Linked DNA regions of Arabidopsis thaliana. The protein of the gene in region 1 interacts with the protein of each later gene in a pairwise test. Each region holds a gene or a part of one and is shown on either strand. Other genes may lie near its edges. The genes, in order: MKK4 and MYBR1.

Region 1 (16,628 bases):
TTACCACTAGTTTATGTGATTTTAAAAGAAAGAAATGCAGCTTACCAAACGCAACGTGAAAATTTGAGAAACCCATACTCAAAAAAGATTAAATGACAAAATCACCCTCAGCAAAATCATGAAACAACAACACTAACATTTTCACCAACCCCACCGTCTACTCCGGTGAATTGTCTATATGAACTCCTCCGATACAACTCCTGTTTCCTTCAGGCCAAAGCCTAAAATTCACACAACCAAAAAAACCAACCTTTTTTTTCCACCTAAATCTTTGAATATCACAATATTTACTATTTACAATGGCGCCACAAGAACAAGCAGTTTCTCAGGTGATGGAGAAACAGAGCAACAACAACAACAGTGACGTCATTTTCCGATCAAAGTTACCGGATATTTACATCCCGAACCACCTATCTCTCCACGACTACATCTTCCAAAACATCTCCGAATTCGCCACTAAGCCTTGCCTAATCAACGGACCAACCGGCCACGTGTACACTTACTCCGACGTCCACGTCATCTCCCGCCAAATCGCCGCCAATTTTCACAAACTCGGCGTTAACCAAAACGACGTCGTCATGCTCCTCCTCCCAAACTGTCCCGAATTCGTCCTCTCTTTCCTCGCCGCCTCCTTCCGCGGCGCAACCGCCACCGCCGCAAACCCTTTCTTCACTCCGGCGGAGATAGCTAAACAAGCCAAAGCCTCCAACACCAAACTCATAATCACCGAAGCTCGTTACGTCGACAAAATCAAACCACTTCAAAACGACGACGGAGTAGTCATCGTCTGCATCGACGACAACGAATCCGTGCCAATCCCTGAAGGCTGCCTCCGCTTCACCGAGTTGACTCAGTCGACAACCGAGGCATCAGAAGTCATCGACTCGGTGGAGATTTCACCGGACGACGTGGTGGCACTACCTTACTCCTCTGGCACGACGGGATTACCAAAAGGAGTGATGCTGACTCACAAGGGACTAGTCACGAGCGTTGCTCAGCAAGTCGACGGCGAGAACCCGAATCTTTATTTCCACAGCGATGACGTCATACTCTGTGTTTTGCCCATGTTTCATATCTACGCTTTGAACTCGATCATGTTGTGTGGTCTTAGAGTTGGTGCGGCGATTCTGATAATGCCGAAGTTTGAGATCAATCTGCTATTGGAGCTGATCCAGAGGTGTAAAGTGACGGTGGCTCCGATGGTTCCGCCGATTGTGTTGGCCATTGCGAAGTCTTCGGAGACGGAGAAGTATGATTTGAGCTCGATAAGAGTGGTGAAATCTGGTGCTGCTCCTCTTGGTAAAGAACTTGAAGATGCCGTTAATGCCAAGTTTCCTAATGCCAAACTCGGTCAGGTATATTTTTTTTGGGAAATACGGAATCATACGAATTTGGAAAATCGAAATAACTATACGGAATGAAATCTCATAATTAACTGAAAAACATAACATAAGTAAATACCTATATACAGTTTGTATTTTGATCAAATAAAGTAAAACCAAATTATTCAACTGTGTGCGATTTTTTTATATTTTCTGCATAATCACATTTTTGGCTACTCAGATGACATATTTTTATTTATTTCTTATAGTAAAAAAAAATATAAATGTTATACAAAATTTGACCAAAAACGTTTTTAAGAAATTTGCCACTTCAGTTTTAAATTTTACGTAACTAACTTTAATTTATTAAATGATTAGGGATACGGAATGACGGAAGCAGGTCCAGTGCTAGCAATGTCGTTAGGTTTTGCAAAGGAACCTTTTCCGGTTAAGTCAGGAGCTTGTGGTACTGTTGTAAGAAATGCTGAGATGAAAATAGTTGATCCAGACACCGGAGATTCTCTTTCGAGGAATCAACCCGGTGAGATTTGTATTCGTGGTCACCAGATCATGAAAGGTTACCTCAACAATCCGGCAGCTACAGCAGAGACCATTGATAAAGACGGTTGGCTTCATACTGGAGATATTGGATTGATCGATGACGATGACGAGCTTTTCATCGTTGATCGATTGAAAGAACTTATCAAGTATAAAGGTTTTCAGGTAGCTCCGGCTGAGCTAGAGGCTTTGCTCATCGGTCATCCTGACATTACTGATGTTGCTGTTGTCGCGTAAGTTCAAATTTTTAACCGTTGTTCGTTTTGCAGTCGCTAATTGAATTGCGCCAAAATATGTTGTTGAACCAACAACTACAAAACGGACATTGTTTGATCATGACCAAATAATGTTGTTGGTTCAACAATATATTTAGGCTAATCTATGTTCTGAGTACTAATCTATTATTAAAGTATGTTGTTGAACCAACATGAATGATTAAAACATAATTTAAGCATAATGACAAAAGGAGATCAATGATATCAATAACAGAGCCGATCTTGATTTCTCTAGCATCTCTGTTTCAAACTGCTTACACTTTTTGTTGTTACGTGTATGATTAAACAGAATGAAAGAAGAAGCAGCTGGTGAAGTTCCTGTTGCATTTGTGGTGAAATCGAAGGATTCGGAGTTATCAGAAGATGATGTGAAGCAATTCGTGTCGAAACAGGTAAAAAGTGAATTACAAAGCAAGTTCTTGATTTTGATTAATGCATGAGAAATGAATCATTATTGATGCAAACTTTGTATATATCTGAAATCACAGGTTGTGTTTTACAAGAGAATCAACAAAGTGTTCTTCACTGAATCCATTCCTAAAGCTCCATCAGGGAAGATATTGAGGAAAGATCTGAGGGCAAAACTAGCAAATGGATTGTGATGGATGATTTCAACCAAAAAGCAAAAGATGATTTCAATGTGTATATACATACAACTGTTTGACCCAACCAAGGAAACAAACTCATACGAACCATTGTCTTTTGTTGTTGTTGTTGTTGTTGTTGTTGCTGTTCTTGCTTGATTCATGTAATGAGCCTTTGTGATGAAGGTGGTTTCTTTTTTGGTTTCCTATCATGTAACTTGTGCTGGAGAAAACAGCACACCTTTTTCATATAATAATAAATTTACTCGGATTATGCAACTGAAGATTGAAACTGAAAAGTTTGATACAAGCACCATCATAAGCGAACAGTAACCCAAAGATTCAATAAGCATAACAATAATCGATCATCCCAAACAAATATGTCTTTAGAAAGTAGAGATCTCAACTTCTCAACTTATCACATAAAAAAAGTCTCCTGAAAACATGCATTCTTAAACAAAGTCTTCCACTAGTAGCATGTTGTTCTCTAGATAGATAGATATTTCTTGCTTAATCGATGGATAGGCGTGGAACACAAAAGTCCACAAGCAGCACAGATGGCCCTACGCCCGCCAAATAAAACATCCTGCTCAAAGCCACTTTGACAACTACAAACTTCTTCTTGTACCATACCTTCACTATTGCCATGGACTTTCCTTGGATCTTCTCTGTTCCAACTACTATCCCATCTCTAAGTCCAACGTAGCGCGCATACTCACCTGACGAGGCAAGTAAATTGCCTAGCACGCAAAACAAATGAACATATATTTTAGATCAGATGTATATCTCTCTGGATCATTTTATATTGAATTTTAACTAACAGCTATAGCACTTACGTCTTGTTGAAGTTCAATGTGTGGAGTGAACACATGCAGTTTTGCTCCCACGGCTGATTGATGCACCAACAACTCAGGTACTTCGTCCATATCCTTAGGCTCAATCACTTCTCCTTTCATGGAAACGAGAGCAGGTTCGTACGATGATGGGGTCTTTGACTCAGATCCCAAAGGTGGCCAATCTTCTGCTCTCGGTATGCCGCCTTTCTTTAACGCAAAGTTAAGGCAGTCCTTGACAGTGAGCTTGCGCCTGCGCCTGAGGTTGCGTGAGCCAGCTTTGTCCACCAAATACTGAGCTGAGTACTCAGTGCGGACACTATCCAGCTTAAGTGCAAGCCGTGCAGAGCTTATCAGCTCAACCGCTACGATAGCAGCAGAAGCAGATTCATCTGCATAGACAAAACACAAAATGGAACAATAAATCAAATCTGAATGTATTCCCATCTTACAAGATACGAATAGGATCAGAATCAACTGTGATATACTAACATAATCCAGGCTATAACTAAAGCAATGTGACAAAAGCAGTGGATTCAACACAACATCCTAATTCTACAGCCACAAAATTTGGCTGATTGATTGGTCAAATGACTTAAATCTCACTGTTAACATAAAAGAGAATCTCTGAAATCATGAAAAAACGTACAAAGACAACACACATGCTATCAATATCTGAGAGAATCTAAAACCTATCTTGGCAAACAAGTTATCAGAGCCAACAACAACAAAACTTAAGACATTGGTGTAATTAAGCACATGACCAGAACTGTGATAACTCAACATAATGGGTAAATTTTGTCCTGCACTAAATCCAGGCTAAAACTAAAGCAATGAATCAACACAACATCCTAATTCTACAGCCACAATTCACCATTCCTAGGGATTAGATCAAAATCTGTTTTAAAACCAAGAAGTGAGATACTTTTATGAGTAAATTCTATACAGTAACAAGTTCTTACCGTGCTCTGGGTCATTCTCAAAGACATTATCGCGTCTACCGTATGAAAAAGCCAATGTGAAATTCGGATCATAGGGAGGGAGTGCCATCTGAAAATTTGCAAAGTTTTCAATAAAACTACATTAATGGATGTGAATAATAAATGCAAAGAACATTAACAAGGGAATTAAAGTGAAGCGATTTTTCACGAAAGAAAGGAAAAGCAAGAGGGACCTTTGCTTCCTAATAGGATCGAAGTTATAGCAAAAAGAAACATTTTTATCAATGACAAAAAAACAGATCGATGAGTATGTGGCTAAATCGAAGCAATGTGACCAAACTAAATGAAGTTTAAACGCTAACAACCTAACCAAAAGCTCCTCATTGTTCACTAATCACACTGAAATAGTAAAAAGATGACATTTTTATCAATGACAAAAAACAGAGGAAGGAGTTTGTGGTTAAATCGAGCCAGTGTGATGCTTCTTTACCAAAGAATGACAAAAATAAAGAAGGATCAAACGCTAAAACGTAACTACTCACTAATCACACTGAAAAAGGAAATGCACAAGCAAGCAAAATCCGTAACAAAAAAAAAAAACCCTAAAACGTAACTAAAAGCTCCTACAAAGGCAAATGCATAAGCAAAAATTGTGACAAACCAAAGCAAGCTACAAAAATCTCAACAACTTAGAAAAAAACTCTAAAGAGTAACACTGATTGCACTTACAAAGAAAAACTCACAAGCAGAGGAAGCAACCAAAGGAACCTAAAGGATTTAGTATTTATAGACAAGAGTATGGGTGACTCGAAAAACCCTAGAGATAGGACAGATGTCACCATCCTCTGTCATCAAATCGTATCAATGGCTGCGAGAATCGCTACTTTCTCCGTACAAGCTTTCAATTCATCACCACTGCTCTGTGTTTTTGTTTCTTGTCGTTTTCCAACTTTGGAGATGACCGTTTGACCGTTGTTGTGCCTTAGACGACGTCTTTTCAACATTGGGCTTTATCTTTAGCTGGCCCAAGTTCCTCTTTTCTTCAATTAGACCCACTTTGCTAAACACAGTCGTTTTGCTCTCTCGGATTGAGGAATTGTCTTAAACTCTTCCAAGGATGTTCTAAACTGGGACATCAACCTGATTAGGTTTGAGAAACGATTCTACGATCCGTATATTTTGCTTTTTCATGATGGTAATAAGCTTTACAAGGAGACATTTTATCAATGACAAAACTAAACACCGAGAATGGAAACGAAACGGTCCTTTTCGTCTTCAAGATGCAAAATTGACGAGCATAAATGACAAAAGAAAAACCAAGGCAAAAACTTTTATGAAAATTCAACAAAGCTACATTGGGGATACATGCACCATCATAAGCATAAGAATATTATCATTGTTCTCTTTTACCTTTCTAGAAAACAATAATCCCAAAAACCCTCTCTCGAGTTTTTTACTCCCTAATAAATGTAAAATTCAGAGACCCTCCATGATTAGCAAAAAATTGGACAACAGACTCAAGAACAGTAGTAACACAAAAAATATGAGTTGATGAAGGGAAGAAGAGAGAAAACGCTATGTGGTTGGAGAAGAAGACGAGGACAGAGGACGAGGAGGAGGCAAGAGTTGATGTAGATTCTGAGGAGACCTGTTCTGGCTCGGACTTGCTCTTAATATGAAAGGATGCTGCAATAGCTGCATAGCACTCCTCCTTTTCCCCGGTTCTCTCTGCAAGCAACACGAGATAAAATGCCGAAACTCCGGCGACGCAGTCGCTGGAGCTTCTGGAGGCTGAGACATACAAATGGCACACATAAGACTAGCCCAATCACCTTGTCTACTCACAGGGAAAGGAAACCTCCCCAAGTAAAACTCCAAAATGCTAACACCTAAGCTCCAAATATCTCCAGCATAACCATCATACTTTCCCTGATTCAAATCAGTGTTAATCCTCTCAGGACTCATATAAGCAATGGTTCCAACAGATGAATTACACGGATCCATAGTCTGAGCCAAGATCCTACTAACTCCAAAATCAGCAATCTTAACGTTTTTAGCAGAGTTTATCAAAAGATTCGATGGTTTGATATCACGATGAACTATGTGACGGCTATGGAGATAAGCTAAACCACTAAGAATCTGACGAGATAGATCAGCTAATTGTTGCTCTTTCCACACATGAGCACCTTCTAAAGAACCTTTATCCATAAACTCAAGCAAAACCTGGATCTCACCGTTCTGATCAAACATCTCGTGACATTTCACAACGTTTGGATGATTCACATCTCGTAAAATCTCGATCTCTCTACAGATCTGACGTCTCACAGTCTCCTCGTGGTTACCGTATATCACCTTAAGTGCATATAGACGAGAACTCGGACGGTGAATCACTTTGTATACCGTTCCACCTGCTCCGCTTCCGATACGGTTACCTCTCACTAAATCCGAATAGTTCTTCGCTTCTATGGAGCTGTTAGTGTTCGTTGAAGACGCCGAACCACCAGAAGACGGCGCAGATCCACTAGAGCCACCGGAACCACCGGAAGTAGGTGGGAGAGGAAGAGGTACAGCGAGAGAAACATCGCGTTGAGGAAGCGGTAAGGTAAGATCAGGACGGCGACGGGGACGGCTTTTCACCGGAACGGAAACTCCTGGAGGCGATTGAATCGGTCTCATCGCTTTTGGAATCAAAAGTTCGATTTTCTTCTACGATCTGAAAATTTAAAAGCTCGATTGAAGATTGAAGTAATGATCTTCGTCGTTTATAGTAGTAGTCTTCTTCGACTTCTTCGTCGTCGTGCGTTGTCGTATTCTAGGGTTTGTTTGTGGCAGGCTTAAATTGATTCGTTCTTCGAAGCGATCAAAATCAAAAGAAATTGAGAAATGAAGTTTCGTCGAAAGAAATTGAAAGGACACTGAAAAGGGAACGTTAATTTTTATTTTGAGAAAATTAATTAAAAGGAAATAAATAGCAAAATTGTTAAAATCGAGAAAAAGGTATCTACGCGATGTGTAAAGCGCGTGAGGATCACTTTCAAGCACGGAAACCATTTGTGACTTTGTGTGGTTGGTTCACTGGGCACTTCTGGCTCTGTTAAGTTTTTTTCAGACTTTACGCGGTGTCGTTTTGTTGGTTTTGTGATATAAACCAAGAAGAGGAAATCGAATTTAAATCAAACAAACGCGTAAAAGTGACATTGGAGATGGTCTAACCTGCAAATATGCGTACTGCGATTCAAAATACATGATTCAGAAAATCAGTTTGTATATTCTCATGTTTAATATTAAGTATGGTCTTCTCTCAACTTCTGACAGTGTATTGATTCTCCACGTATGTGCTTAGTTTTATGCTATTCTCACTGTTCTGTAACAATCAAAAGAACTTGTCTTTAGCCAGAAGAGTCTTTAAAGGCTTTTTTTCATTGTTCGCATACAAAAAGTGAAACAGAATAGCAAAAGAAGAAAAGAGATACACAAGACTCAGTGTGTCATTATTATGATCGGAAATGAGTTTTTCACTCAAGCTCCATTGTTGACAATAAAAAGAAAACAAATCTTGGTAACTCAGTTACTTTTGAATCCCTTAAGAACATAAGCTCAAAGTTGACTTCAAACTTCAGGTGTGTCTGACCGCAAAACTGTCAAGGAAAAACAAAAACATGAGAGAATGTTAGACAAATGGATCAACAAGAAGAAAGCTGAACCATTTTCAGATAGACTAAATCTGGAATCATTGTCTCAGTAAACCCTATTTGAGAAATGAAATCATTCCAAATTCAACAATTTGAACATAACAACAACTTATGAGAAAACAAAATAGAATGAAATTAATCAAATCCAGAAGCAGAAGAGAGACAGATTAAGCGCAAAATCGATGGAGCTTGTTAAAATGATTCATCTTCCTCTTAAATTCAATAGCTTTCCCAAAATGACCTACTCTGATATCTACGTATTCCAACAATTTCAATGACACACAACAAGAACATGAAGAATTCAGATCCAAACATAAACGAGAAAAGACATCTAAATGCAATGTTCCCAATCAGCTTTCCATCTTCTTCATGTTCTTGTTTCACACATACTACTAGTTTTGTTGTTTTCTCTGAAGCTAACTCTAAATGAAAAATTCAACAATTTGGACATAACAACATTGTATGAAGATAGTATTGAACTGATCAAATCCAGAAGCAGAGGAAAGGTTAAATGCAAAATCGAAGATCAAATCCAGAAGCAGATGATTCACTTTCCACTTAATTCCGATAACTTTTAGGAAATCAGATTATTCCAACAAATTACTCAAAAACAAATCAGGAATCGAGAACACAAGAACGTGAAGAATCCAGATCTAAGATCCAACATCGACGATTAAAGGATCGAAAAGGCTTACCAGGTTTCTGGGGCTTTCCATCAGCCCATTTGGAGAGAGAGAAGTGAACCTTCTCGCGAGTAAGAGCTTCAGCTTTGTGTGGCTCCTTGAGACAGTTCCTCACGATATTCGCACAGATGTTTGAATACGATATATATGTCATCCCCGCCGCTCTCCAGAACGGAACCGCCGCATTCGATGCCATCTCCGATCTTCTTCCTTGTCTTCCTTCTTCGTCCGTTCCGATTCTAAGGAGAAAGTTCGCGAAATGGGACAGAGACCGATTCTGTGCCCTAGTAATCCTAACACAGTTTAGACCCAATGGGCCTTATTAAATATTTTAACGGCCCATTAAGTAGCTAACTACACGAATCTTCTATCCAACTTTCATCTACTGAAATCTCTCAACTTTTTTTTTTTTTTTGGTTTCTTGTCTTTTTTATTTGTTTTTATGATTGTTTCTTGGAGTTTACGCGAAGACTGAGCCAAACCAAGCTTTGCTATTTTAATACCTTGATTAGGCAATTAGAAATTTAAGCGAAGTTACATAAAAATAGGAAAACAAACAAACTTATTTCCAGGAGTCTCCACGAAATTTACTCAAAACTTATTCTCATTTTCAGGTAGATTGAATTTCGTGTATATGTCTGCATAATTTCGTGTAAATGTCTGCTTTTCTTTGTTTTGTTTCGTTTTGTAGTTTTTCAAAAGTTAATATTAAATGTGCAACAGAGAGAAGACACCAATCTCATTGACTTGTCAGAAACAAAGAAGAGAGAAACAGTTTAGTTTCAGATAAAGATGGTTGAGCTGACTAACAAATAAAACAAGACTTTGGGTTTTGCTTTAAGTTAATGATTATATGTGATCTTGTTTTGGTTTATAGAAGTCTTTAGAAGAAGAACACTGGTAATTACTTATTTTGGTGGGTTTGGTAAGAAATTTGGTTTATCTTCCGAGGATAAAGGATTGTTATCAAATCCATATATAGTTGTTGAAGCAACAATCATATCCTCCTCCACTGAGTAAGCAGCAAAACAATGGCTGAATCAAAGAGACTTGAGAGGCTTAAAGCAATGAGAAGTTTATTGAAGAGTGAGATGGAGAAATCTGAAACCTTTTCATTGGTTCTTAACAAGACTGGATCCAAGATTGAAGAGATCAACCATAAGTTGTCGTCTTTAGAAGCTGATCTTAAAGTTGAGAGATGGAAGGCTTCTCCTTTCTCTGATCATATCCGTCACACCATTGCTCCAATATCCGCTGTCCTGAGAGTCTTTGCTACGGTTCAAGAGCTTGAGAGATCTCTCGTGTCCTCTGATGGAGTCCTTGGTTATGTTTCGGATGTTAAACGTCTTGGAGAAGCGATGAAGCTTCTCTCCAGTAGCTGTGTTCTTGCTCTTAACTGGCTAGAAGATACGATCGAGTACCTAACCGAAAAGGGAATGCCTGAAGATCATCCTTGCGGTTTGCGGTTCAAGACTTCCATAGAGCTTCTCCGGGAATTGCAAATGACCGAGTCTCGTGCTTATCTCAAAGGAGGTATTCTTTACACAGCGCTGAAGAATCTTGAAACAGAATTCAAGCGGATTCTCCAAGAGAAGCCGGTTTTCTCAGAAGACAACTTGAGAAAGTTGCAGGCTATCATCAAGAGATTACATGCTCACACGCGGTTAACAAGCTGCGTACCAGTTTACATCAAAGTCCGCACCAAGGTCATTCAGAAACGGTTTGAGATTAGTTATCTGGAGAAAACAATCACAGAAGCTGATAATGTACATGATATTGAAGGCGATATAGATCAATGGAGATTGCATATGGAGATAGCTGTGAAAGAGATATACGAGTTTGAGAGTAAGCTCTGCTATGACGTATTTGAAGATATTGGAGAAGATGTTCCCTTGCGTTGCTTTGGAGAAATAGCTTCAAATTCAGTGATCCTTCAGCTTCTCAGATTTGGATCAAGAATCAGCAAATGCAAGAGAGAGCCACCAAAGCTGATCAAGCTCTTAGATTGTTTCTCTACAATGGACAACTTTCGGATAGAGTTTAACAGGCTATTTCGAGGGGAACAATGTTCAGAGATACGCAGAGTTACACGGGAGCTAATCAGCAATCTCGTTAAGGGTGTCTCCGAGATCTTCTGGGAGTTACCTTGTCAGGTAGAGCTACAGAGACCAAATTGCCCACCTCTTGATGGAGGTGTCCCAAAGCTTGTAAGCGTTGTGACTGAGTACTGCAACAAGCTACTGGGGAACAACAACAAGCCAATCTTGTCGAAGGTCCTAGAAATTGATTTGGGATGGAAGAACGCAAAGTATCAAGAAGAGCTTCTCACAGGTCACATCTACAACATACTGAGAGAGATTGCTTTGAACTTGGACGCATGGTCAAGTTCCAACAAAGAAACCGCTCTTTCTTGCATCTTTATGATGAACAATCACTCCCATTTCTGCGGCTTGAGAGAGACTTATCTCGGGGAAATGATGGGAGAGTCTTGGTTAAACGCACACGAGCAGTACAGAGACTATTACGCTGCACTTTATGTCAAAGAAAGCTGGGGACATCTCTTGTCTCTACTCACAAACAAAGCTCAAACCACTTCATCATCATCATCATCATCATCAGAATCATCTCCTGTGAAAGGAAAACGAGCCCGTGAGTCCATTAAGCGAACATTACAAGCGTTTTGTAAAGGATTTGATGAGATATACACAAAGCAATCAAATTGGGTTGTTGAGGATGACAAGTTGGTATGGAAGATATGTCAAGCAATGGTGAAAACAGTTGTGCCAAGATACAAGAGTTACCTACAAAGCTACATAAAGCTTCTAGTAGAAGAAGATCCTACGAGTGATAGTAAGCATTTATATTATACTCCAAAGGGTTTAGAGATGAAGCTGAAGACAATGTTTCAGAAGAAAGAAGAAACAGAGAAGAGAGACAAAGATTCTCACTTTGTGAACAAAGTGATGGATTTGGAGATTACTCAGAATTCTCGCTCGACATTAGAAGCTATATGATAATACTTAGACAAGATCACGAAACTAGACACTCGTTTCTTAGTGAAGCTTAGCCTAACATAGAGAGGTGTGAATTGTATAAAATTGGTTGTTGTAATGAAATTGAATCCAAAAGATTATAGGAAACTACGTACTCAAGTAATTTGTAACTTCGAGATTGGTCAAACCAAAATTAAAGTTTCCAACTTTGCAACTTTACAAGAAAAAAATTGAGACTTTAAACTTGAAGAGCGAACCTTCTTGAGAAGCAAGAACGAAGAAGTTGAACGCCGTCGTAGGTCAATGTTAAATAGAGTTCTTACGGCAGGGGAGACTTAAAAATCAACGGCGGTCAACGACGGGTCCGACGGAAGAATTGTACCAATTAGACCGGAAATTAAATCTGTAAACGTTACCGATGATGATGATTCATTCGATTCTGGCATCAAAAGCAGAAGGGCTTTATATGGGCCTGGGCATATTATCTATTCATATAGTGGGCTCGAAAGAAAAAGATTTGTTTTAAACTCATTGATATATAATTGTGTGCCCATCAAATGAGAATATAGTTTGATCTCTTTGAGTTAGATTTATTGAAAAATTACACGAGTTCAAGAAGAGTTCGATTTAATCTCCTTAGTTTTAAAGACCTTGAAGCTCGATTTAGATTTGATGATAGCTTGGTAAAATTTGCCTCATCATATACTACTTTGATGCTACTAGTTACATTTTCTTGTAGAGAGAGAGATTGATAATTCCAAAATCTTACTAATGAAAAGTATTATTTAGAGCAAAAATAATAAGATTATAATTCTTTTTTTTAATAAATAAATTAACATAATAACTTTCTTAACCATTTTTGTAGTTTTCATTTTATTTTCTTTAATGTTATACTAATATATTTATTTTTATCTACAACATGAATTATGTGACTTTGGATATATATATATATATATATATATAAATAATTTTTGTTAACTAGAATGATAGACTGATAGTATATTACCACAAACTACGAAACTATATGTCTCATGATCTAAAATCTAACTTTTGATTTCTTCACCCGAAAAAAAACGAATTTGAGAAAGGTTAATGCTTGGTAAGTCTAACAAATACATAAAACCAGATTCATACTTTACTACTTTAGTCAGTTTCATGTCATCTTTTTCGGAGATAATCCCGGAAAGATATCAAAATATGTCTATGATGATTATGTCAGCAATTTGACCAAGAAATCTAATTGCTAAAGTGTTGCCAAATCTACTCTATTATTTGAGACGTACGTTAAGTGATTTTCCGTTAAAATTATTTTTACTTTTAAATCATATGTTTAAAATGTTAATGTCATGAAAAAGATTACCTTTTACTGAGAATCACTTAAGTTACGTTATAATCTTGGCCATTCGTTTGAATTGTTTTTACCGCCCGATCTCTCGCTTTCACTTAAAAGTACGCGGATCCTTATGACCCGGGTTTACAATTATTGGGTCATACGTTATAATCTTGGCCATTCGATTGAATTAATTGTAACCATTGATTTTTTTTCAATAAATCCTACAGCAAAAATTTTGGAGAAAGAATTTTTATTTATTTCTAATTAATATATTCCCTTATTCAATACTATTCATAATTACGTGTGTTTAAAATTGGAAAACTAATTATACTCATATATCAACAATATTTATTATATTCTAAAATATTACTAATCCAATTATTTTTTTAAAAATATTTTCTAATCAAAGCTGCTTTATTTATAGATATAACATTATAAATATCGAATTAATATGTTTGAATTCGAAATTGGGTTAAATATTCTAAATTTATTTAAATAACTGGAAAAATAATTTTAACTAAATTATTTTTTATGTTTGATAATTAAAATAGAAAAATATGTTTAAACATTTAAAAATAAGATTAATTACATTTTTGGTTTATATTAATTTTTGTTAATTATATTAATTTAATTCCCTTTTCAGCAATTGAATCATATTAATTTAAAATATTCAATGCGTATATTCCTTTCTTAAATTTGAATATCGCTTCTCCATAATTATAGGTAATCAAATATTTAGTTGGATATTCATTTTTGAATTAACATAAAGTTTCCGAACAATTTCCATAATTAAATAACTACTTATAAGATAATTGCTAAACATTCTCCTATAATTATGAGATTCATCATAATCATTAAACTTGAGTTCCACAATTTATTTTATGCATACTTTTTCCCCAAAAATTTATATCTTATAAATACTGTCTCATTTCAAAAACTCACTCAGCAGTTCCTATTTACTTTTACTCTCTCGCCTCTTTTTTTATTCTAGCAGAAGAAAACGAGACCATGAAGAAAACTGAAGTTGTGGATCAACGAGTCCATGGAAAAAGCAATATATCGAGGTGTCCTCTCACATTCTCTGTTTTTCTCTATTTTTCATGTTTTTCTCACATCTGTTTTTTAAAATATTTATGCAGGTAATATGGGAGATTAAAATGTATACGCACACATGATTTTGTTAAAGTATGTCTTGCTTTATAATTATTTATCTTTTATGCAAGTAAGAAGTTAAGCTTTTTTTACCTCTCTATATATTTATAAGATGAGTAATTCTGATTGAATTTTTTGATAGGGATTACAGTCTTTTTCCTGTTAATTTGCAGAAACACGATGATGATTTATAATTTGACTACTATCTTCCAATGAACAACAAAATTATAAGGTATGTAATATTTTTTCTTAAATCTGATCGATATATTCTCTTTCACTAATATATTGAGATTGTGTAAATATTTTTGACTGTAGTTTAGATTTCAAGAACTCACTCAACAGTTCCTATTTTCTTTTACTCTCTCGCCTCTTTTTTTATTCTAGCAGAAGAAAACGAGACCATGAAGAAAACTGAGGTTGTGGATCGACGAGTCTATGGAGAAAGCAATATATCGAGGTGTCCTCTCACACTCTCTGTTTTTCTCTATTTTTCATGTTTTTCTCACATCTGTTTTTTAAAATATTTATGCAGGTAATGTGGGAGATTAAAATGTATACGCACGCATGATTTTGTTAAAGTATGTCTTGCTTTCTAATTATTTATCTTTTATGCAAAGTAATAAGTTAAGCTTTTTTACCTCTCTATATATTTATAAGATGAATAATTCTGATTGAATTTTTTGATAGGGATTACGGTCTCTTTCCTGTTAATTTGCAGAAACACGATGATGATTTATAATTTGACTACTATCTTCCAATAAACAACAAAATTATAAGGTATGCAATATTTTTTCTTAAATCTGATCGATATATTCTCTTTCACTAATATATTGAGATTGTGTAAATATTTTTGACTGTAGTTTCGATTTTAATATATTGGTATTGTTAATTAAATTAATTGAATTTTAATATAAGTTTCTATTAATAATTCTTTTAATTTTTTCTTCTAAAATTCTGGATTTTGAGTAAATTTATTTTTGTCTTATTAATTTGTCAAATTTGATAATTAATATATATATTAATAAAATACACTAAACCCCGACACACCATGTATACAACTACATATACTAAATATACAATTATGTATTCAAAAGGATACATCAATTTTGTAATAAATTCAATAGTATCCATATTTAAATGATACCAATAATAAATTGAGAAACTTTTAAAATTTATAAATTATACAAATAAACATTTATAGATAAACAGAATATATGAAATTCGTAATATATAGAATTGAAACTGATAAACTAATTAAAACATGACTACGTTAAGTGATTCTAAGTTAATTTTTTTCCGAAGAAAACAGAATATAGTAAAAGCATTTCGTTTTCCCATTTACTTAATGCAAGTTTTTTTAATACTAGTGGAGAATTATGTAATCTATTTTTTTTCTTTTTAGTTATGAGTTTTAAGTATGAAGAAAGACATTTTCCAATTATTATTTGTCAAATTTTATAATTCACTTACATGTTAATGACATACATGAAAATGTATAAATTTTCTATGTGTACAACTACATATACAAAATATACAATTACGTACCCAAACGTACATACTAACTATAGACATATATTTTCAAAACTACATATATTAAACAAAATATGGTTTGACCAGACTAAATATATTTAGTTGGTACCAATAATACATGATAAACAACTATATGTTTAAAGATAATAAAAATATAGTAGAGTTTCTGTGGAATACACAGAACTGAGATTTGATGATTGATTAAACCAAAAATACCGTGCGTAGCACAGGTACTGACCTAGTACCCATTACTTGCGCCGTCCCTTAATTTGCTTATCCACTCCAACACTAGAGACAACGACCAAAGCAAGAGTAGTTTTGTTTGTCTCTATTACACTTTTCGTTATTACACTATTTTTTCCAACTAACATGCTATTACACCAAAATTTGTAGGAGCTTATAGTTGAAAAATGAATAAACTGGATTAGGTAGACCAATTTTCGCTTAAATATTTTTAATACAATATACAACAAACATTAAAACACTTACCACATGATGTAGTCCAAGCTAAGAGAGTTTTGGAATAGGAAAAAATAGTTTGTTCTTAGATTTCTTTCATTTTATTTTCAACAAAAACCCTTCTCAACAAATTTATCTTTTAGAGTAACATGAGACATGATTAATGTAATAATGGTTTGATAAATTGGGAAATAAACGGCGCATAAAAAATGACCCACAAAAGAATCAGTACACAATTTTGAGATTAGAAAAATAAACACTTGAACACCTCGC
Region 2 (12,442 bases), on another chromosome or scaffold:
GCCGTTTCTGCGCCGTAGATATCTTGTCCACCGCTCGTCTCAGAGACTTTTCGGATATACGGAGAGACGAAGTGAGAGCTATGATTCGGAAGATCAACGTGGAACTGGTAACATCAGGAGGCAGTGTCAGATTGAAACTCCAGCCGTTTCTTTATGGGCTTACGTATAACATCCTAATGAGCATGGTCGCTGGAAAACGAGAGGAAGACGAGGAAACTAAGGAAGTTCGGAAGCTGATTAGGGAGGTGTTCGATTTCGCTGGTGTTAATTATGTCGGAGATTTTCTCCCGACTCTGAAGCTCTTTGATCTTGATGGATACAGAAAGAGAGCAAAGAAACTCGCTTCGAAATTGGACAAGTTTATGCAGAAATTAGTCGACGAGCATCGGAAAAACAGAGGAAAAGCAGAGCTTGAGAAAACGATGATCACTCGTTTGCTGTCTCTTCAAGAATCAGAACCTGAATGTTACACTGATGATATCATCAAAGGGCTCGTACAGGTACATGAGTTTTTAATTCCTATAATTTTGAATCGTTAATAGGAGTGATCAAGATTGATTCATCAAAGATTCAAAGGATTCATTGCAGGTGATGTTGCTTGCTGGAACGGACACAACCGCAGTGACGTTGGAGTGGGCTATGGCTAACCTTCTAAATCATCCGGAAGTTTTAAGGAAACTCAAAACGGAACTAAACGAGGTTTCGAAAGAAGGGCGTGTGTTTGAGGAATCAGATACTGGCAAGTGTCCCTATCTCAACAATGTGATCTCTGAGACTCTTCGTTTGTTTCCGGCGGCGCCCTTACTTGTCCCACACGCTTCATCCACTGACTGTGAAGTCGCTGGATTTGACATTCCACGTCGCACCTGGCTATTTATCAATGCGTGGGCTATTCAGAGAGACCCAAATGTATGGGATGACCCAGAAACTTTCAAACCAGAGAGGTTTGAATCAGAGACCCATCGTGGTAAGTTTCTGCCTTTCGGAATCGGTAGGAGAGCATGTCCTGGTATGGGCCTGGCCCAACTAGTACTGAGCTTAGCTTTAGGCTCATTGATCCAGTGTTTCGATTGGGAGAGAGACAATGACGTTGCCGTTGACATGTCGGAAGGAAAGGGTCTTACCATGCCCAAATCTGTGCCTTTAGTTGCCAAATGCAAGTCTTTACCAATCCTCGACAAACTTGTTCTTTAACTGGATCATTTATCTTTCACTTTGTGATACTTTGTGTATTAATTTGATCTATTATCATCATTAAGCGTAGTTATAAATAAAAATTTATTTTATTTTCCTGAATAGCTTAAGAGAAATTTGATCTTCGTCTTCGTCACTACGTCCCCAGCTCTCGAGCTTTGTTCACTCGATTTCCTCTATACATTTCCTTAAAACCCAAAATTCTTAAGCCTAATCCAAAGGAGAAAAAAACAGAGCATTTTTCTTCTTCTCCAATTTAAACAGTTTCCTAATAATCTCACTTTGTCTACTCGATTCTCCCAACTCCAATTTGACTCATCGGAATCATGCCATTATCAATGAATCCTCCGACGAATCCGCCACCATTGTTCCGTTGCATCTCCGTCATGTAACTCCTCACTTCCGCCTTAATCATCTCTTGCACCACCGCCATAAACTCGCCTCCGTTACCGGGAAAAGACTTCCCCATTTCCTCAATCGCACCTCTAAACCCACCACTAAACGGCATAAACGACACCGTATTGTTGTGGTTGTGGCGGCTCGAAGTGGTGTTGTTGATATTCGTTGACTCGTGGCTACGGTTTGACTCCTCGCTTACGTCGGCACCAGGAAGTGACAAGCTTAACGAAGTCGGTGGATCATCGGAAGAAGACGACGTTTCGATAGGAAGCGGTAGCACAACAGCACCAGGTCTAGGCACAGGCTTGAAAAGCTCAACGGAAGGTAATATCGGGATAGTACTTGAATCACTGACATCAGATCCAGTTGGGCTTCCTGGGCTCATGTAAAGCCCAGTAACAACAGGTGGAGATCCCGCACTCACCGATCTCTTAACCGGCCGATGATCCTCCGAACCATCGTAACCCCGATGGTCGTAACCGCCGCATTTCCTCTTGAGCGTCGAGTTCCAGTGATTCTTCACGGCGTTGTCCGTACGACCGTTGAGAAGACGAGCAATCGTCGCCCATTTATTACCGAACTGAGCGTGAGCACGTGCGATCGTCTCGTCTTCCTCAGCCGAAAACGGCCGATGCTCAACTTGCGGCGAAAGCTGGTTGCACCACCGTAAACGACACGATTTCCCCGATCTACCGGGAATAGATTTGCTAATCACTGTCCAGTTTCTTGGACCGTATTTAACAACAAGCCTACGAAGCTGCTCGTCTTCTTCAGGACTCCATGGACCTTTGATCCTATCAGCCATTGATTTTGGAATGTTTTATCAAACTTTAGCAATCTTCTCCTCTTTAGTGATTTTGGTTTTGAGAGATGAACCAAAAACAAGTTCGAGAAACTAAAGAGAGGACAAAATTATTTATACAGAGATTTAAGAGAGGAGGATAACCGGAAACCGGTTAAGACGGTGGAGAAGTCATGGGCAACGCTTCTTCCACGCAAGCGGTTTTTCAAAGTTTGCGGTACAGCTGTAAGTGGACACGCGTCGAAGCCTGACTACGTCGATGTGTCTTTTTTGTCGTTTTCGTAATAATTTTGTTCAAGATCAGCAATTTCGTATAGTTGAGCGTGGAGATCAGTCGAGTCTCAAAGTATGAGTTTGTGAGTACACGCGCCATTTAAGCGCGTGGCGAAAGTAAGAAGTTAAAGAGACAAAATCACGAAACCCAACTAGCAAAGCCATGATAATATTCGCACAATTTGAGGTGAATTTAAATTTTTTTATAGGGGAAATAAAAATGAAAAAGAAATATCTGAAGAAAAAAATAAAAAGATGATAACGGTTAGGTTTGGGTAAGGACAGTTTTTATTTATTTTTATGTTTAGTCTTGACTTTAGAATAGCGAAGCCAGGCTGTATAGCACTTCACATAAAAACTTTATGATAATATCTACTTTACATATAACCGATTTTCCGGGTTGAAAACTAATCAAAATTATTGACCACAAATTTCATTACTAATAAAGAAAACAAATTGTCACTAAGAAGGTATAATTAATTACTAAACAACACACAAACACCTAATTCATGCATATAACAGTGCATGACAAATTGACAATACTAAATCTATATATAGTTGCTCTATGATCATAAAAAGATCTAAACCTCAATAATTTGAAACGAAGCTGGATTAAAATGGGATTGACAAAGAACCGTGTGAGCGATATTAAGTGAATGTATAAAAATGGTTAGATATTAATGTTCGGTTTAGGAAACGTGATGTAAAATGTGCGGTTAACAAAAGATAGGAGGTTTTGACGTGGCAGAAAACGACAACATAGGTTGCCGAATTGGAACGCAAAATCATCACTGCCTTTGTTTCCTGAAATATATTTAATTATTATATCGAAAATACGAATAGAAACAGCCAGGCTGTATAAAACTTGTTAATCAAACAAAAACAATTAATAAAACACTAACTGTCATCCATTTAAGAACTGCCACGTGTCGGTCGTAAAACGCGGGTTTTTAAAAGCTCTTTGTTCTGGTATGTACGGTACGAATCAGGTCGGTAAACGTCAGGTAATGTTCATGCACGCTCCCTAACCTTCCCTCTAACGGTTCATAATTCTCCTTTTAATTAAACTATAGTATTGTTAGTTCTTAATAATTCAAGTTTTTACGTAACCCCACCAAACATTTGAATTTATACCTTTTGAGTTATATATCTACATTTTTGTCGATTTGTTGATAATCTATTAGACATCAGGAGTTTAATACTTTGAGTGAATTTGATAATTAATAATGCCAAGAGGTTATTGTGATGGGAACAATAAGCTCTAGATGTAACCTTGCGTAGTTATTATATTGGGTTTACGTGTTCGTTTGTGAGACTCAACTATACTACTATAACCTTGCTCGTTGTTTCTATTATCAATGGTCCGAGTGTCGGTTTTGGTCTCCTTGTTTTAAATATTTTATTGAAGTCGTTTTACAATTACCAACTTTTCCTTAAACCAAAAAATAGATCAATAATGGTTTTGATTGATGATATTGATGGTTGATTGACGGTGTCTTACTCACTCGAAGATTAGACAATTACCAAAACGATTTTATTCGTAGTCCACCAAAAAAACAAATCAACTGTGATCATTTTTCATATCTATTATAAATGACTACTATAGTATGACATTTTGAAAACATTTGTAACGAATAATCATCACAACATATAGTAAACTGAAAATATAACATGCAACAATCTAAAGAAAAAACCTAAAATACACAACGTACAGCCTCAATTATTGAAAATATTTTGTTTTCTGGTATGATAAATTTTGTGATTGAAACGACCACCGAGAAGTTCATATGAACATAGAAAACATTAAAGAAAACACCGTCCATATATTATTTTATTTAAGACACACCGTCCAAGATTACAACTGTATATTTTTGGACCAAAAAATCATTGCCCCTCTTGTGGAAAAGAGATAGTGGTGCAGAAAAAAAGGCACGTGGAACATGACCTAATTCGGCTAAATACAGTTTTAAAATTCAAAAACTTACGATAACCGGACAAAGATTTAACAGCTGTTTTCCAGTATGTCCACGTGTCCATGAATTATCCTTCCACGTGTAAGTTTGAGTGACGTGTCATGCTAATTATTCTTAACAAAGGCAAAACTACTCTTGTCTTGTTCCTCCTGTCGTGTAAGCTAGCAACTGTAATTTTGCTATTGGTCTACTAACGTGTTTAGATATTCTTCCACTTGCATTACCTTTTCTTTTTATTCGACATTATAGAATGTATTAATTGTTAACGGTTTAGGGAAACTACTTAATTATATGGTTTACAAACAAAAAAAAAACATAATGGTGTCAACAAAAAAAATCACAAAGGCAATAAATTAAAGAAAACAGGTGCATGTGGTTCGTTTACTTAGTTGCATAGAATAGAAAGATGCTGCTACAAAATATCCTTCCGTGTTCTCGCTTATCCTTAAGCCGTATGCACATTTTGTACCTTCACCTTCCACACGTGTGCATGTATATATCCACACGCACTACAAATCTGCATTAATGGTACGGTCATCGTTGAAACGACTACGTTCGGTGACCTTCGTGCTTAAGATAAATTTTGTTGGTCTTCTGATGTATATGCTTAAGCCACACACACCTAACACCTTCACTAAAGCTTGATTGAAAAGCGATTCTTTGTTGGACGACAAATAAAAAGTTACTCTTTTCTTCTTCTTTTTGTATGTGTGGAATCAAAACGTTTAATTTTTGTACCTACCAAGTACTATTTCATCTTATATGTTAGAACTTACCGATTTGTTGGATTTTTTAGAATTCTGATATCATATGATATTTCCAAAAAAACTTATTTAAAGATTTGCTTTATTTCGTCTTCAAATCTGAAATTTATCGTCAACTTTGTAAATCAAATGTTAAAAAATTTCAAATGTAGAATTGGGATATTAAAAACTTGATCATTTTGATAATATCTATATACTATAACTCTATAAGATAATGCATGGAATCACGTTTTACGACCAAGCATCATAAGAGTCATGAACGGGCAAAAGCGAGGGCAATATAAAGCTAGAAACAAAAGGACAGATTACTACATGAAAGTGTGTGAAGCTTTTTCCCCACATTGGCCGCCGGCTTTTTTTGACTTAATTAATATTAACAATACTCTCTACACTGTTTTTTCTGTCAATAATAGTAGTATATGATAAATATTCTTTTCAAAACAATACTTCTCATGTGGAGAAAATATCGACCACATCATCAACTTTCATGAACAATGATCAATGGATCGACCATCACACTTGCTAAATAAGAAAGGCATAAGAAGATTATGTTGCAAATTATTAATTGAAACTCTTGGATCGATAAATATTCCATCGGATTTGAACATGAAGATAATGTGTGAACGATTACATTTTAGGTTTTCACCTTTTTAGAGTGCAGTAAATGTGTGATTAAATAGAAATTTGCTTCACTAAAACCAAAAAAGTAAGTACAATTCTATAAACAGTTCATTATTTTATATATATTTTTATAGAATTGCAGAAACTTTCCGTATAGTAAACAAGTTCAATGAACACAAAGAATGAAAGAAGCTTCTGTTTAAGTAGAGGAATAAAATGATTATAAACAGAGCGAAATTATATGTAATATTATAAGAAAAAGTTTCGGCGGGTCTATCTAACTGAAAGTTAACAACATCACAGTACCTACTAAAAATATATTGAATAATAATCATTAGGAGTGTATGTGTGGTTGATGAAAGGCCGAAGTAGAGCCGCCCTATAAATGGGCTTTTGTCGTCAAAGTGGTGGAGCCCAATTTTGGAATGGCCTATCTGATTGTTAGTTGGTCATTTGTCCTTTTCCCCCATAATTTATTTCAACAAGTCCTTTTCAACTTCTTAAAACATCTAGAATCAGAAAACTATTCATTGAAATTCATACAGAGAATATCAGTTATCACTTATCAGCTACTAAATATCATAGGAAACACAGTAACACACAATAGCGTAGAGATTATACAATAAATGGGCTTCAAAAGATCAGCCCAAAAAGAAACTAAGCCCAATAAATAATTTCTAACTAACGTGTGGACTCGGTGAGTCATCATCTATCTCATCTCGGTGATGGCGGTGATCTCATCGTTATTATTCCCTCCGGTGTTAACCCGACGAACAATCACGATCTGCTCCAACTCATCGAAATCAATGGCGGCTAAAAAACAAATCGGTGAAGAAACCTCGAAGCGGGTCTTTGTATGCGGCGGTGGAGTAATCGGCGTCTGTACTGCTTATTTCCTCGCCAAGAAAGGAATCGCCGTCACTCTCGTCGAGAAATCAGCCGTCGCGTGCGCTGCTTCCGGTAAAGCCGGTGGATTTCTCGCTTTCGATTGGTGCGATGGAAGTCCTGTTGCGCATTTAGCACGCGCGAGCTTTAAACTCCATCGATCGCTCGCTGAGGAGCTAAACGGTGTCGAATCGTACGGATACAGAGCACTCACGACTCTTAGCGTCACCGTGACGGAATCAAAACCCGGTTCCGGCGGTTTGGGATTACCGGATTGGGTCAACGGCCCAGCTAAAAGCACATCAACGATTGGTACAACTCAAACAACAGCACAAGTGCATCCTCAACTTTTTACTCGGAAGCTTTTATCGACGGCGAGAGAGAAGTACGGTGTTGAGGTTGTGATCGGGAAATTAGAAGAGGTGAGAGTGGAATCAGGTAGAGTTAACTCTGTAGTGCTTGAAGGTGGGAGAGTTATAGACACTGACGTGGTGGTTCTGGCGATGGGTCCATGGTCGAGTAAATTTGAGCTGTTGTCTTCGATTTTTAGGGTTTATTGTACTAAAGCTCATAGCATTGTCTTGGAACCGAAGGAACCAAATGCTATAACACCTCATGCCCTGTTCTTAACTTATCGTCCTGCTCATGGTGGTGAAGCTTTGGACCCTGAAGTATACCCTCGTCCCACAGGTAAAATTTCGGTTCTTTCATGTGATTTTACTTTGACTTAATCTCGTTTTCTGATACAAGTAATGGAAAAAATGAGAAGTGGTTGCTTTGGTTTGTTGTTTGTTTTTTTTGGACAGGTGAAGTGTACATATGTGGAATGTCATCACAAGAAGAGGTACCTGATGATGCTGATCAGGTCACAAGCAATCCTGAATCGATCCAGGTTCTCAAGAGAGTTGCGAAAACAGTCTCGAGCTATCTAAACGAAGAAAACGCTCTAGTGAAAGCAGAGCAAGCTTGTTTCTTGCCCAGCACAGAAGATGGAGTTCCTGTGATCGGAGAGATTCCAGGAATCAAGGGATGTTATGTAGGCACAGGGCATAGTTGTTGGGGGATTCTTAATGGTCCAGCCACTGGTGCTGCTTTGGCTGAGCTTATTGTAGACGGTGTAGCCACAAGTGTTGATCTTAGCCGGTTTAGTCCTTCCCGGTTTAGCAAACGAAGATGAAGAGTATAGTAATATAGAGTGTTCGTTGAGATATCACATAAAAGCTACTCTGTTCTTTGAAGTCTAAGCAAACAGAATTGTGAACGAGGAATCTTAAAATGTGATAATGTGATACGTGATTGTATTTTGTAATCGTTGAGCATTTTAGTAGTACTGGTTAGATCTAAAGGCAAACTCTAACTCAAAATGCTAATGACGAAACACACGAAATGGTTAACGAATGGTATGTATTTCGCTGCTTTGCTATATTAAAATGTATTTCTCACCAGTTATATTAAGCTTTCTAGATCTATTTGTGGACATGATATATTACAAATTTGCAAAAAGAAAACACATAATCTTTATGCCCAACCAATGGACTGACTGACCCATAAAAGCTTATTGATTTGCGATGCCAAATGGGTTTTACAGTACTTTTTGCTTACCCATTAAGGGACGCACAAAACCAATCCAATGAGAATAATATCTTTAAGATTTTAGTATTATTATCATCATAAAAGTATCTTATCTTATTTTTAGTAACTCTCAAATTCTCTTACACGTGATTTGCTAAATTTTATTCCCTAGCTTTTTTTTTTACATACTTGAAGCTTTTCGAGCTTTTAATTTTGTGCCCAATTCCTTTATGTATCTTTCTAAAAGGTTCCATAAAAAGGAAAAAACACATTACTTTAAGGGATTTTAAAATATATCTTCAAGACCATTACACCTCTTTGAATAGCTAAATAATAAATGTTACAAAATTTATTACTCGCCAGAATGTAATAACTACGATGAATATATTCTAGTTACTTCTTCTATAGTTATCATTTTTATTTTTTTTAGTGTACTCTTTTTCTAGTTTCTACCCCTTTTAAATTGTTCGATTAGTTATTTATAAACATAGAATAAATATGATCAGTTAAAGAAGAAGAAGAAGAATAAATATCTCTTTATTTCTGTCACGTCATTAACAAAGAAAATGCCATTTTAAGCTTTTGTCTTTTGAAAAGCTCATTAAGTAATTAAATAATCATATGACCCATTTCACTTAATCATTCTAATCATATGTCGTTGTTAAAAGCCACTAGATAGTAGCTTACTACCAGAAATGGCTTCGACATGTTCACTTCAAAGAATCAAACAATCTAAATATTATTGGCATAATCAAATACTCTAGGAACTATAACAATTTTCTTGACCGTTATTTTCTCGAATAAAATCATCATATATTTGTGGAGGAAAAGAAAGAATGTATAAAGTCATAACAGATATCATATAATATATCCAAAAACACCCGACCGATCAAGTGACAATGCGCAGTGTTGTATTATTATATTATCACTGTTTGAAAAATTGTCGAACTCAGGATTGGTTTATAACTTTGCAAGACGATAATAACTTTGGAGTTTTGCATAATGGTAAGTAGAAAACGCCATTTTTCATGCATCTCCCGTCTTTGTCCACCGCCAAACTAGTAGCCATCCTCTAATTAATAATGTATTACTACAGCTTTGTATATATTCGTATTGGAGTTTACAGACTAATCACATAGTGGTTACGTTTAGGAAGATAAAACATACAGAAATGGTAAATAGCTTGTGAACCTGAATCTCGAAACTTACCTTGTCCAATTTGTAACATGAATGTCGACTATAAGTAAATTTGCTCTGACAATTTACAGTCAAACTCAACTATGAGTCTATAATATCACTGTAGTGGGTATTGTTCACACACAACGATTAATACTGTAATTAATGCTGAAACTTGGACTACACGACACTCATATGTTTTATTGTTTCACACACAGCAGAAGAAATAATTGGATTTTTTTTCGGTCCAGTGATTGCACTGGTTTGCAGAAAAATTCTTAAACGATAAATAAACCATGTTCATCTCATGATTACTTAATCGTTTGAGAAACCGTGACATATGGTGGTAACAAACAAAAACAAACAAATACCAACCGGTAAAACATATATACAGTATTTTATACATAAACAATTTTGTGATTTTGGCAATCAAATAACAAGGACCACAATGACGCTCGCGAAATTTAATTAAAACGGGGACCAATTTTAATCAATTTGACCCGGTGTACATTAATCTTGACATGCATTTATTTACGTGTGATGTTGACCTCTTGGTAGATACAGTACTACATTTATATATTTTTGATGCAACACATAACTGTTTAGTGTTTTTGATATTTCCTTTTTTTATCAGTCTAACTCTCGTGAGTCGTGAGTCGTGAGTTGTGAGTCGTGATCCATTGGGATTATTACTACGTAGTACATGTTAAACTACATATATAAGGATTCCATAAATATGAATCAAATCGAATTCTTCTTATATAACTAAGACATTAAATGTCTACTTGCACTTCATTAAAAAGAATCTTCTGATTTTATTTTTGGTATATGCAAAATTATAACTGCATTTAAAACAGAGATTAGATCATGAAACGAATATTATTTCTGAAAAAGTAGGTATATCTAGTAATGTTAATTTATTTTTTGCTAAGGATATCTAGTAATATTTTATATGAAACACTTGTTTTTATTTATGTGTTTTGCGCATAAAGTCAATATTATAACGAATCACTAGATTAGTTTTATTTTTATCTTATAGATTAGTTTAATAAGCCTATATCTATAAGATGTACTATGATCAGAGAAACATTAGGTGTAATGAGAAAACAATAATAAAACGGTCATATATAAGTAAATCCAAGTCAGTGAGAGACCTGCAAAAATTTCGAACTTTTTGTGAATGTCTTATAGCAAAGATACTATTCTCCCATCTGATCATGTTTCCATAGATATTAGTTAATTGGCTAATAATACAATTCTTCACACACATCACATGATCGATATGCGTAATCTCACGTCACAATTTCCGTCATAATCAAAAGGAGTAACAGAATTAGTATATTATATAGTTTCTGTGATCTAGCAAAGATTTAAATGTAAACAAAACTATCCAGATTTATATGGTTTTGTTACGTTTCTTTGAAGATCAATGTAAACAATGATGAACCAATATTAGGGTCCACGTTGAATATAAACGTGAAAAACGACAAAGCGACGTCAGCATAATTTACGAATAGGAAAACAGTGTTAACTTTTGTTATCACATTCCGTGCAATTTACATAGGATATAGAATTTTTTATTTACAAAAGTTATATTTATAAAGAATTACTCAAATCAAGAATTCCATAAAAAGATAAACACTTTCATATATCGTTCACAATCACATGGCCTTTTCAAAAAATCAATCTTTTAGTTCTCTATCGATGCGTAGGCTTGAAGCATGATGACGACAGTCGCCGCCGATCTCCACCGTTATCTTTTCCTGATTACCGTTTTTCTTTTCTTCCTCTGCGACAAAACCTCTCTTGCTCTGACCACAGACGGTGTTCTTCTTCTCTCTTTCCGTTACTCAATCGTTGACGATCCTCTTTACGTTTTTCGGAGCTGGAGATTCGACGACGAGACTCCTTGCTCTTGGCGTGGTGTCACGTGCGATGCATCTTCCCGGCACGTGACTGTTCTGTCACTTCCAAGCTCGAACCTTACCGGCACACTACCTTCAAATTTGGGTTCACTCAATTCACTTCAAAGACTTGATCTTTCCAACAATTCCATCAATGGGTCTTTCCCGGTTTCGCTTCTCAACGCGACGGAGCTTCGATTTCTTGATCTGTCCGATAATCACATCTCCGGTGCACTACCGGCGAGTTTTGGCGCGCTTTCGAACCTCCAAGTGTTGAATCTCTCCGATAATTCCTTCGTCGGCGAATTACCGAACACATTAGGATGGAACCGGAACTTAACGGAGATTTCACTTCAGAAAAACTATTTATCCGGCGGGATTCCGGGAGGTTTTAAGTCGACGGAGTATCTTGATCTCTCGTCAAATTTGATCAAAGGCTCGTTGCCGTCACATTTCAGAGGGAATCGTCTACGCTATTTCAACGCTTCGTACAACAGAATCTCCGGCGAGATTCCGTCAGGTTTCGCCGACGAAATCCCGGAAGACGCCACCGTTGATCTCTCATTCAACCAACTTACAGGTCAAATCCCGGGTTTTCGGGTTCTCGATAACCAAGAATCCAACTCTTTCTCCGGTAACCCGGGTCTCTGCGGATCCGACCATGCAAAACACCCTTGTCGTGACGGTGAAGCAACCTCTCCACCTCCATCGCCGACTCCAAATTCTCCTCCTGCATTAGCTGCTATACCAAATACTATTGGCTTAACCAATCACCCAATTAGCTCCAAAACCGGTCCGAAATCAAAATGGGATCATAAACCGGTGCTTATCATTGGCATTGTTGTCGGTGACTTAGCCGGTTTAGCAATCCTCGGGATT

Evidence for each region.
Region 2: the proteins of MKK4 (region 1) and MYBR1 interact in a two-hybrid assay, tested with the Arabidopsis thaliana proteins (one study listed by BioGRID).

The regions. Positions count from the first base shown.
Region 1 is NC_003070.9:19,145,136-19,161,763, reverse strand, and holds MKK4 (mitogen-activated protein kinase kinase 4), read right to left. Parts: upstream 7,442-16,628; 5' UTR 7,190-7,441; coding exon 6,089-7,189; 3' UTR 5,426-6,088; downstream 1-5,425. Other genes in the region: 4CL1 (4-coumarate:CoA ligase 1), read left to right, coding at 300-1,355, 1,701-2,113, 2,445-2,547, 2,644-2,757; AT1G51670 (uncharacterized protein), read right to left, coding at 3,420-3,479, 3,576-3,964, 4,535-4,622; AT1G51650 (ATP synthase epsilon chain), read right to left, coding at 8,123-8,151, 8,901-9,084; EXO70G2 (exocyst subunit exo70 family protein G2), read left to right, coding at 9,920-11,902.
Region 2 is NC_003076.8:26,844,065-26,856,506, reverse strand, and holds MYBR1 (myb domain protein r1), read right to left. Parts: upstream 2,486-12,442; 5' UTR 2,399-2,485; coding exon 1,481-2,398; 3' UTR 1,195-1,480; coding exon of another isoform or gene 589-1,194; 3' UTR 501-588; downstream 1-500. Other genes in the region: CYP81G1 (cytochrome P450, family 81, subfamily G, polypeptide 1), read left to right, coding at 1-500, 589-1,194; AT5G67290 (FAD-dependent oxidoreductase family protein), read left to right, coding at 6,752-7,601, 7,718-8,088; RLK (receptor-like kinase), read left to right, coding at 11,381-12,442. UniProt on the Arabidopsis thaliana protein: Transcription factor. Represses the expression of protein phosphatases 2C in response to abscisic acid (ABA). Confers resistance to abiotic stresses dependent of ABA. In response to auxin, activates the transcription of the auxin-responsive gene IAA19.